Linked DNA regions of Drosophila melanogaster. The protein of the gene in region 2 interacts with the protein of the main gene of each other region in a pairwise test. Each region holds a gene or a part of one and is shown on either strand. Other genes may lie near its edges.

Evidence for each region. The genes of interacting proteins can lie anywhere in the genome.
Region 1: the proteins of CG4582 (region 2) and CG14837 interact in a two-hybrid assay, tested with the Drosophila melanogaster proteins (one large-scale study listed by BioGRID).

The regions. Positions count from the first base shown.
Region 1 is NT_037436.4:7,555,066-7,562,529, forward strand, and holds CG14837 (uncharacterized protein), read right to left. Parts: upstream 4,973-7,464; 5' UTR 4,758-4,972; coding exon 4,658-4,757; intron 3,632-4,657; coding exon 3,157-3,631; intron 2,511-3,156; coding exon 803-2,510; 3' UTR 715-802; downstream 1-714.
Region 2 is NT_033777.3:25,580,207-25,584,908, forward strand, and holds CG4582 (uncharacterized protein), read right to left. Parts: upstream 2,974-4,702; 5' UTR 2,759-2,973; coding exon 2,262-2,758; intron 2,063-2,261; coding exon 1,261-2,062; 3' UTR 1,017-1,260; downstream 1-1,016.

The sequences.
Region 1 (7,464 bases), on a different chromosome or scaffold from region 2:
TGTCTGCTGCTGGTAGTATCCACTGTAGCCATTTGTCTGCATGTCGCTTTGTTGAATTGTCTATTTGTTTGCCAAAAAGTGCCATGAAGACAACTCGTTGTTGCCCGAAAGCAATTTCATTCGCTGCCGCCACCGCTGCTGCTGCAACAAATTACTATCATTGCTGTTAATAGTTCATTAAGTCACGGACGGGAGATGTGGATGTGGAAGCCATGTGGAATCACGGCTACGGGGAACGTGAAGCCGTAAAACGTAAAATCGAACTTCATACCGCCTGCCGCCGAGGCAGGCAACTACAAGTGGCAGAATAATTGAGTGAACGGCAAGATAAACATTTCAATTTCGTTATTAAGTCATCAATTAGAGGAACCCAAATCCTACTGCAGGGTGATTCGGTTTTGATTTGAACTCCCGGGAGACAAATTGCCTGCCATAAAAATTTTGTAATTAAAGCGTTGCAATGGCACACAACTTCTTAGTTTGTGAGATTGCACAATATTAAACAATCTATTAGTACATATATTTTTTATTTTCAGCGTAAATATGTAGGTGGAATTTATTTAGATAACCCAATGAGGCATGTGGTTATTCTATGTTATATAAAAAATATACATTTTCTTAAGTACCTAACTAAAATTTCATTTATGATATTTCGAAATGAAAGTAAAAGTAGTAGATTTGAGCAATCTTCTCAGTTATTTACGGCAGTAATTTCGTGTATAAATTTATTTTAATAAATATATAAGAATTTCAAAAGAATTACAAGCTCAACATTTGCTATTATCCTCGGTCATGGAATAAGCTAGTTTATAAGAAACTCATTGTAGCAAATATCGCAGCGTTCGAGGGTTTTATGAGTGGCCTGTGGAGTTTCCAGAGACTCCACCAATTCTTTTGGCTTTATTTTATGGCCAAGAGTGCCTCCGTAATTCTTTCTCATAACCCAAGGAGAGGTACGTCGAGAACTTAGTAAGGAGGCTGTATAGGTGTGCCTGCCAGGACTGCAGGATCTTAGGGAGTGCAATGTGGCCGTTGATCCTCTCAAGATTTCCAGTCTGGCTAGCGCAGCCTCCAAATCGCAATCTTCATAGCCTTCCATAACAACTTGATCCGGTGACTGAGTAAAGGACTTTATACTAGGTGTATTCAGACTGCTCATTGGTCGGATTATCACATCTAAATTGCTGCTGTCTGAGGATTTAGCGCTGGAAGCCCTGGAAATCGGTGGTGATAACATCTTTGATTTGGAAACAACAGCTTTTGGAGTGTCTGTCTTTTTAGGTGATTGAGGTGCAGAGGATTGATTTTGATTTGTTGAAGTTTGAGTTGCTTCACTCGGACTGCGATCTCTGTGCGGTAATTGCTCCTTTGGAATATTGTTTGATTTGGTGAGATTCTGAGGTAGTTTCGGGGCTTCATCTGATTGCATAGGTAGAGAAGTTCTAAAAGGACTCGTTTGTGCTTTATAGGAATCAAATTCATGGTACGAATGCTCTCTTGAGCGTACCATTTTCTTTTCCATAGCTTGTGATTTCCGAGGACTTTTATCCTCCTTGAAAGAATCAAATTCTATGTAGGATGGCTCTCTAGATTTAACAGTCTCCTTTACTGAAGGTTTGTGTAGCCTAAAAGGATTGTGATTGGTTTCCAAAGACTTTAGTGGTACTACGGCCTTAGTAAAGGGCTTTTGTCCTTTTAAGGGCGTCCTTTGAGCTTTAATGGAATCAAACTCATTCAAAGATGGTTCTCTGGACCGTACTACATCCTTTGGTAAAGTGTTGGTAATCCTTAGTGGACTGCGAGGATCGAAATCCAAATAAGATGACTCTCGCGAAGAAATAATCCTGGAAGGCTGCTTCTTAGAAGACTTTTCCCTTGTCGGGGTTATGGGTTTTACTGCCCGGCGACTTCCAGTGCCTAGAAATTTCTCTCTTCCGGCTATCAAGGGTTGTTGAATAACTCCAGTGCTCATTCTGCGTCCGTATCCAGGTTCCTCCACCAAGGGAGCCGGCCTTCCTCTACCCCAACCGGAAACCCGTTCGGCAGGAGATCTTTGAATACCGGAACCAATGCGAGTGGCCAGGGAAAGACTGATGCGTTCGCGTTGGGGATTGAAATCGAAGGTCCTGGAAGTGGCAGGATTCGAGAGCCTGGAACTGGACCGGGATATACTACCCGCCTGTTCGGAACCCACGAATTTGGCAAACTCCCGTTGCCCTCTGCGAGTGGGGGCTGGAGTTATGTGGCCGCTGGACAAATCCGATTGGGAGGCACTCTGTGAGTTTTCACCGCTAAAATGACCATCGTAGTGATTCGGCTTATCCCTCAGACTGGTGTGATCCTGGTAAACGGAGAACTTGTTTTGACCGTGGGCGAAGCTTTCGTAGGGCTTAAACTTCTTGCTTTTGGCTAACTGATCTGCGAATTTCTCCCACTCGGTGGTGCTGGGTCTATGCTCCTCATCATTCGTTTTATTCGTTTTGACCAATTTGCGGCGCACTTTACGACTTCTGGGGGATTAGTATTCAGTGTATAAAAATTTAAGTGTGGATGGTCTTTTAGTGTATTAATTTTTTTTTTTAAATTTTTGGTGGTGTGTTTAGTTTTTTTTAGTATATAAGTGAGATTGTGTGTGTGTAAAAGTGGTATTTGCAAATCTTTAACGATCTCAAAACGATATAATTGTTAATGTATTTTAGGTTTTAATATTATGGTCATTAGTTCTGCAATTACGCACTTATTCGACAAACCGAATAAAATATTAATGAACGTATAAAATATATTTAAAATATTACCACAATACTACGCACATGACTTTGCTGTTGATGTTCTTGTTAGTTATATTTGCTGAGGTCGCAAGTAAACAAAGGCAGGGTATATGATATGTACATAGAAGTAGAGTAAGTTTATTTACAATTTACATACAAGTCAAGAAAAGAGAGAGGAGAAAGTATGTTGATTAGGCCATAATAAATGTAAATATCGGGATACTACGACGGAAACTACGAATCATAAGCGAACGTTGCAGGTACAAACTACGCGAAAACTTCAGGGTGCAGTGGCGCTACAGGTTACGGATTTGCGATGGGGCTACGGGGGTTACGGGTTAGCGATTACGGATTTGCGATGCTTCAGGTGCTCTCTAGGCTTACTTACTCCACGGCAGCGGAGGATTCGGTTGCTTCTGTTGCTGTAGCTGATGAAGGCTCGGCAGTCGAGGCAGGTGCATCCACTGCAGGCGCATCAGCAGCAGTTGCCTGCGAGACTTCGGCACTTATCAGAACCATCTCCTCCAGCGAGGGTTTCGGAGTCGGTGGGCTCTCCTCCTCGTTGGCCAGAGCCCGTTCGATCTCCGGCTCTGGAGTGGAGGTCTTCAGGCTATCTGTATCTTCCTGCATTTTGGGCGTCGGTGCTCGGGAACTGCTCATCGTTGCCTCTACCGGATCTGTTTTCGATTCGGAAACCTGGGGCTCTTCCAGGTGAAGACCCTCCATTACCTTGTGCTTGGCCTCGTCCAGAGCCTGAGTGCCCTCCTTGAAGGCGTTGCCCAGCTCAGTGGTAATTCCCGCCACCGCCGTGCCAACGGTCTCCTTGGCCGTGTCCAAAGTGGTGGTCAGTGTTTCAGAGGCGTCTGCAAGGAAAGCACGGGAATGAAAGCACTTTCAGTTGTCGATTCCGACAGGGGAGTGCTTATATATAAGTAGTATATAAATGTGCAGTAAGAAAATAATAAATGTAATAACACCACATTTGACTAGTTTAAAGAAAAAATTTTAATAATTTTTTAAACGAGACATGAAACGTGAATTGGTGTCGAATTTTCATTTAAAAAAACATTATATTCGAATAATTGAAGCCAATTTGCACAGTTTAGTCCGCATTTAATAATAGTACTTTCCCTCAGTGCACATGTAAGTATAATATTTTTAAGTCAATGTTTTTGCTCTAATTCGTTGACGTCTGGTCACGCAACCAAGTCGTTTTTCTTCATATGCGTTAAATAAATGTATAAAAATATGGTCGGGTGATGGCAATGGAGCCAGCTTTCACTTGCGACCCTCTGAAAGGCGGCCAAATGGCGAAAAATCAGGCCAAAAAAGGCTCCGCGGCACGCATTGCGCTGGCCAATTGTCCTTTATTACGTGGCTTGTTATTATAATAATGTGAAGTACGACCAAATTTATTACATACATTGCGGCTGGATGTATCGAATTTCTTTTTGGCATTAAGTGGGAATTTACTAGATTGTTGGTGGCCGGTAATTAGATGGATTTAATATTGATTTGGGCCAGGGGTCAAGGACTTTAGTTTATCGAAGTAGGAGTAGTTGCTCAATGCCATCCATCATTGTTGAACTACTAGTAGTTGTAGTAGTATGAGTAGCACATTTAGTGCCAACTAAAAATAATCCAATGCAATTCTAGAAACCTTAACATCAAATAATTGACTTTAGATCTAAGACTGTCCTTCGCCGAAAATTAAGTATCCGCTCGAAATATCAAGTATACGCCGACTGCCAGCTTGCAACTGCCCTTCGACCGCACACTCCTAAATGTCATCTGCTGGCCAACACTTAAACTAATGGCCAGCACGGATTGGTAACACACACACACACACACACACACACACACACACACTAAAGCACAAGCACACACACCTTCCACGACGGCCTCGCCCTTCTGTTTGACATGGCTGGCGGCTTTCAGCATTTCGCTGCCCGCCGTTGCAACCATGGGAGTGCTGCTGGCACAGCCCATGACTTCTTCTCAATTCGAGCCAGACAATCGCGGAACCATGCCGATCGGAGCGGGAATCGATGTGGATTGCTTTAGCAACAGCCGAGGATTTATTTATATCGAATATGAATATGATTATGAATTGGGTATAAGAAATACGCCCGCCTTTGGTCACGAACTCAACGCAACTGAGCACTGACCCAAAACATTCGCTGCTAAAGTGAAGGGTCAGTTCGGCACTCGACCACCGCCGACAATCCCCATTCACATCCCTACCATTGCCATTTACTGGGCACGCAACAGGACCGGACCGTTCTGAGCTGGACTGGTCAACCGGACCCATGGAGCACTTGGAGCCCCACAGTTTGCATGTGCGTTTGCACTTCAAGTGAAGTGAAATTGCTGAGGTCATGCGCGTTGGGCGCACACTTACCATAGTCATAGTTAAGGTAGTTATAGGCCAAAAGCTAAAAGGGTTCTAGGTCTGCAACAAAATAAGGTGGGGCACCGACGAGCGAGAGCTTAGACCAGCGAGTACCTGTTACTGAGATGAATTATACAAAATTTAGTTCAGATGTTGACCAATCAGTGTAATCAGTTTGCTTGAACACATGTATATATTTATTTACTGAACTATATATAAGATGGTTTATCTAACATATTTAGGATATAATCATAGAGCTTCAATATTTAGTTCAATGTTCAGTCCCATTTAGGGCTGCCTAAATATAACATACTTAAAGGTTATATGTGTAATCGAATGTTTACCGATCCTGAGCATCACTTAATGGCTGGCATACCCTGGTAGCCTATGAGTACCCGTCACCAAAGTGAAAACACAACAAGGGAAAGTGAAGAACAAGGCTTCAGATACGAAAATCTGTGTGTGTGTGTGTGTGTGTGTGTGTGTGTGTGTGTGTGTGTGTGTGTGTGTGTGTGTGTGTGTGTGAGGGGGTAGCGTGTCGGGATACGCCCAGTTCGCCCGATAGGTGGCGTGCATTCGCTTGCTAACATTCCTGACGTGGGCTTGTGTGTTTGTCTGTTGGTCAATGAAGGCTCCACACGGTTATTATTTTTAGAAACGTTGCACGATGTCCAATTGTTGCTCTAATTTCCATATGAGTTTTTGTCCGTGCCCATGAATGAAGCGAAATATCCGCTTGGGTTGACAGTTCCAATCAGATAAGAACTATGCAATCGATTCGGCATATTCTGTCCTATGCAAATCGCTCGATTGCGCTAGATTTCACTGTGGCCCACACCACCGCACAGAGATGATCGTCGAGGGGCCCTTCGAAAAGATTGATTTTTGATTTATTTTGGCCAAACACTTTTTTGGACAATTTTTTTTTTTTTTTTTGCAGCAATCGATTGGCTCTTGTGGCGCTGAATGCCTATTTCTGCCGTTCGGCGATTTATGTCAGTCAAGCAGTGACAGCGCTTTTCATGAGCCAATAAAGTTGTCCATGTCGCTTTGTCATATTCATATATCATGGCCGTACACCCGGCGACTTATGTCACATTCACATGGCCCAAGAAACTGGAGTATCGAGCAGAGCCTGCGCATAAACGAGGCCTAAGTGCGCGATCGAGAGACGTCGTCCGTGATGGTGACGGTGACAAAACACAATTTGGCCAGGCCAAACAAACAGTCAGACAGACGGAGGGACAGATAGACAGACCTATAACATACTTGTGTACAAACAAACCAGCTAAAAAAGTCGCATATAAATCAGCACACGCAGCTGGTTCATTAGACTCTCCACTTCGGGCTCTTGGCACTGCCATTTGGCTTGACATTAATTACATAAGCTAAGCGGCGCTTAATAATGCGCTCAACAATAGAGCAAAAGTGCTCGAGACCCAGTCGACCAATCTTGTGATGTAATGGCCTCCCCCATGCGAAAGTTTCACCTCTTAACACTCCGCCAATATCTTGAGCTTAGATGGGCAATTTGTTTATTGATGGTCCTCTTTAAAAATCTATGAAATTATGTGTACTTAATACTTAAATAAATACTAATACTTAATACTTAAATAATTTCATACCTTGTATAAGCGCGTTATTTTTATAAGTTAAACAATTTGATTTACTAAAGAATATCAAAAAATATAATCATGAGTTATTTTTAATGGTACCCTAATCTCTAATACGCATCTTAACATAGCTTCCTTTCCATAAAAATGTTGAAAAGAATATTAAATGTAAATAAACGAGTAAAATTTGATTCAGAAAAGTCAAAATGAAAAAGATGGAATAGACGGTTGTTGAGTGTGGGAGCCGAAAATGCTTTATGAGTATTTGCATTTGAAACAGGTAGTTGTGGGTGTAAATCCATTATGTCCGACATATAAATACTTCGAGTATCAAACTTTATTTATATTTAAGGCGAACTACGTCCTTTTGTATTCAATTACAATTACGATTAAAAACCATTTGTGATAATCTACAGAGTAGCTGAGCGAGCAGACTATTTATTCTATATAGTACCAGCTAATATAAATTATGTTAGAGACTACCGCATTTGACAGCTGCTGAAGGATCAATGCGATCAAGTTCAATGGATGACGGAACCTCATTAATTATCACAGCCCAATGCTAATGATAATACCATGGGTAAAAATAGCTTTCCTCTACGCGTCCCCCTCTGGTGACATTTGTGCGCTCTCGCACTAATTTGCTTTATGATATCAATGAAATATCAGCATATATACACCCATAAACTTA
Region 2 (4,702 bases):
TAAAAGTAATCCGAGTTATCTGAATTGAAATGAATTATTTAGAAACTATTTTGTGGTAAGAAAATATAGAATTAGTACAGATAAATAATTTGAAAATATGTTTACGTCTTTTACAATGGAAAAATGCGGTTAAGAAAGAAATCTCCTGGAAAATGCATCAAACTTTTCACATACATTTCAATTTGTGAAGTTGTGCCAGCTTTATACAATTTATTTAAATATTTTCATAGACTTTTTCTCAGTCATGTCAAGTCAGTGAAGTTTCAGCGAGCACATTTTATATATGCAATTTCTCGGAAAACGAATTCAAATACACTTAACATATTACAAAAATGTTCAAAATAAATACTCTTGCGGTTCCTCTCATTCGTTTTATCAACCCAAGGGAATGTTGTGCGCCATATTTGTCTTGCTTTTGCCAATATTTGTTCTCGTAATTTTCTATGGCATCCATCGCCAGCTGCCAAGTTTTCTACGTTTTTGTGCCCTTTGGCCAATGGACTGCTGCTCACTCAAATGATGCGTAAAAATCACATTAGCGGCAGCCGTGCGACAATTTGGCCAGAACCAAGGTCTCAATGCCCCAAAGTGTGCTATATGTTTTGCAGGAGCGTGTTACCTTGGCCATTTAAGCCTTGACTTGCCGGCTAAGCCAAGTTTTTGAATTTATAATGCCAGCATGCAGGCTGAAACATTAATGGGGGACTCACGAGAAGTTTTTCATTGTTTTTACAAAGCTTTTTTACTCAGCTTGGTGTTGTTCGCAACTTTTATATTAGGCTTGTTTATTTAACACTTCAAACTTAACTTAGATACAGCTTGATCAGTACAAAAATGGCTTGCTACATTTTCGTTAAATTTTATTATATGTGGTAGTTACAAAATACATTTAATACAAGTTTTAGGGAATGCAATTTTTAATTTTCCGAGCTGTCTGGCAGACAAGATTTTTCGGTTCCTATTTTTTTGATTTTCCAGACTGAACTACACTCGGTTTTGTGTTCTTCCTTCTATTTCCTGCATGGATGTTTTCATAAATTTTACTCCCTTTTTTTTTGCTATTTTTACTGCCTGCGACTGGCATGAAAAGCATTTTACACATGGCAGCATTTTTTAATTTTGCCAGCCGGCTTTTAGAAATGGGACAGCACAAATACACACACGTGAGTGTGTATAGTACACATGCACTTACTAATTAGAAATAAAAACGCGAACTGCACTTGCATTTTGCTCATTACGTTCTCTCAGCCATTTCGCTCTTTATTTCTTGTTCTCTTGTATGTGTGCCGCCCTTTTCGAGCTTGCATTTTGCGCTAAAACATAGGGTGGCTGGTCGTTTGTTTGGAAATAATAGACACCCTGTCTTTGGGCCAAGAACTCCGCCGACACGTTGGCCAAATCCCCGCCCATGGTCTGCATAACTCCGGTGTCCTTTGGGCAGCGATGGAATCGGGTCAACTGCTGCCATTCAGCAGCTGGACAGCCCTGGGATAAGAAGCCCGTTGCCTGATCCCTTGCCAGACTCTCGGCAAACAGCATAAATGCCCTCCAATGGCTGCATTCATGCCAAAAGCAACCTGGTTGCTGGCTGCCCCAGTTGGCATAGAAATCCACATGACCCACGGGTCGATCAAATCCATAGCTGCCCACACTGGTGTGCAGCACCTCCACATAGTCGGCATCCTCGGCGGTCAGCCGCTCCTTTGGTTTGGCATACCGAAAGAAGGGTAGAGCCGGATCCAAAGCTCGGATCATCCGAAGGCGACCGGTCTGCAAATGTTTGCCTGCCAGTCCCGCCACATGTGCGCCCATGCTGAATCCGACGAGCTGAAGATCCTCGAAACGCATTCCCGCCTCCTGATGCAGGAAGTCCACGAACTTGGCCAAAACCTGACCCACCGGCTTGACCCTATAGCTGGCCGTTATGTAGTCCGCTATGGCTCCACGTCCCCAGTCCACAGTGAAGATGTTGTAGTTGCCATTTCTCAGATCAAAGTAAGCTGGCAATAGCTCGTTGTACATGTTAGCATTTTCATTACCCAACCAGCCGTGAATGAGGATTCTGAAAAGTATGATATATTATTTTGAACTTTGAATGAAATATCTTAATCATATAATTCTTGAGTGCAACCCCAATACGTTTGTATACAATAAAACAAGTTTCCATTGGCCGTAGGGCCTTTAAAACCGAAATTGGCTATCGAAATGGCTCTCAAAACTCACAGATAATGGTCGGGTAGCTTTCATCCGGCTGCACTCACCTGGTGGGATTGAAGGGACTGAAGCGAGACCGGCGCAACGAGGCGGCATCGTAGAGATTCACCGGTTCGCTGGTGAACTGCTGGTTCTGTTCCTGGTCCCCCTTGTTCATCACGTTTAGGCCAAAGGCGGCGGTCAGCGTGTTGCCCACAACCTGCTGGAATAGCCGGCGATGTGGCGATTCCTTCTCGGATTTCAATGGTCCTGTCTGGCGGTTGGCATTGTCCTGCGGGACCAGGGTATGCAGGTGGAAGTAGGTGTGGTGCTCGGCACTGTACAGCAATTTGTAGTCCGGCTGCAGGCGGAGTAATTGCTGTTCAACCGAACTGGGCCCGTGGGCCAAGTAATGCCTCTCCAATTGCTCCTGCCGCCCATGCTGCTCATCCAATATTGGCAGCTGGCCGGGACTCATTAGGCCAGACGACAGCAGTGGCATTTGTGTGTCAAAGTAGTTTGCCTGCAACCGCTTACCGCCCCGATTTCTCATCCGCATCATCATTGTTCCCATTCTGAGGGCACTTTCCACTTCATTTGTCACTTTTACTTGCACTGCGGGTCTCGGGCTCGGATTCGTCTTCGCCGGAGTCATCGCCATCGCCATAGTCATCACCTTCTCCTCCTGCTGCAATTGATTGTTGTCTGCAGCGACATTATAGTCCTCAAAACCAGGCCTGTAATCAGACGCTTTCAGCTTTGCTGCAGCGAGCCACAAACAAACTGGTGTCAACGAAATGAAAATGCATTAGTCTCGAAACTGTGCAACTAGACCAATCCGCAAATGAGTAAGGCACACAAAGAAAAACCAGAAATCATTGATTTTTAAAAAGGTGTTTTTTTTATGATTTTTCACATTTTCATAGCACTGTTTAATTAAGTCTTAAAAAAGATTTTATTATGCATAAACTTTCTCAAAAGTGACACAACACTTAGTTTTTGATCAATTGACAACAACATTTTCTGATATTTTCTGTCCGTGTACATTACTGTTGCTCCCGCAGTTCATGATGCTGATGATAGTCACCTGCCTGCAAAACGACTGCCAAATGTCCAACATTTCCCATATTTTCAAAATCTGATCTTTCCTCGACGAACTGGAATTCCGAACTGAATTGTACTGAACGAAAGCCAGGCATTTACCACAATATTTTGACCATTTTCATTTTTCGGCTTATTAATATGCAGAACTTCACACTTTTTCTCACTCTCATCTTCGATGATTTCTCTTAACGAGAAGTAATTGTTAATGCCTGAGTTGACGGGAATTACTGGAAGAGTGCCCTCCCATTAGCTGTTAATCTGTTGGGTCAACAAAAGTTCTGGTAGTAAGTGGTCATGGGAAGGGGAAGCGCAAGAGAGGAATCTGTGCCACTGACCAAGTTTTTGTACCATTTAGCACTCGATGACGGGAGTTCAATCTTTTTTGGGATAGGTCAATATACTGGCCTAAAATATTTCTGAATGTATAGTTAAATAACACAAATACTCGTTCATTACGGACGGAAATAACAAAAGTATTTAAAATAAATAAAATAAATCGTTTTAACACGTGCTACCAACTTTTATGAAACGCTATTGAACTGAATGCAAGAACATTTCAACAAGCCACAATTCGATTTAACATTCTCTTTATATTTAAAACACTATGTATCTCAATCTTGTGATTGTGTTTTCCCCACAAAAAAATATTTTCTTAAGCCTGCGGCATAAACATACTAATCGAAAATTTGCACATTTCTTCTTGTTTACTTTCCAGGTAAGTTCACATATTTCCGCGAATTCCGCCAACCGGAAGTGGCGGTCGCCATTTTAACGACATCCGGCGCGTGCATTTCTTGCCTGAAAATAAGAACGACGACGAAGGACCTGCTGCAGGACATAGCTGTTTTCCATTGGGTTTATCGCCGATCGCAAAACGTGACGAAAACAACGAGAACAGCGTGATGTAGGGTAGAAATAAAAGCCTCAGGAGCAGGGAAAGATAAACGAAGGTAACCATATCTCAGACCCCGCTCTTATCGGGATTATGTGCGCGTATATTGAATATGATGTCACGGAGCATGCGAGGACATTTCAATTCGCCCCCCCGTAAAATCACTTCCGCCCCCGAAGAGATGATGATGATACGGCACAAGTTCAATGTACAATCTTTTGTGCTGGGACTTCTGCATTTGCATTTTTTGCAGCATGCCCATTGTTGTTGCAATGCGACACTCAGACAGGATTTGTTTGCCATCGCAGAGATGGGGGATAAAAAACAATAACGCGACAATAATCGATTAAAAACAGCGACTGAAAAAGGAACTCCAGCAGTCTGAGCTTTGTTTGCCTTTTACTTTATGGCCGCAAGCTCAAAAATGTCACTCGAGTGACTTTTATTACGAGCATATTCAGACTGGTTAAGGATGTGGGCACATGCCGGGTGTGTGTGGATGGGTAGATGGGT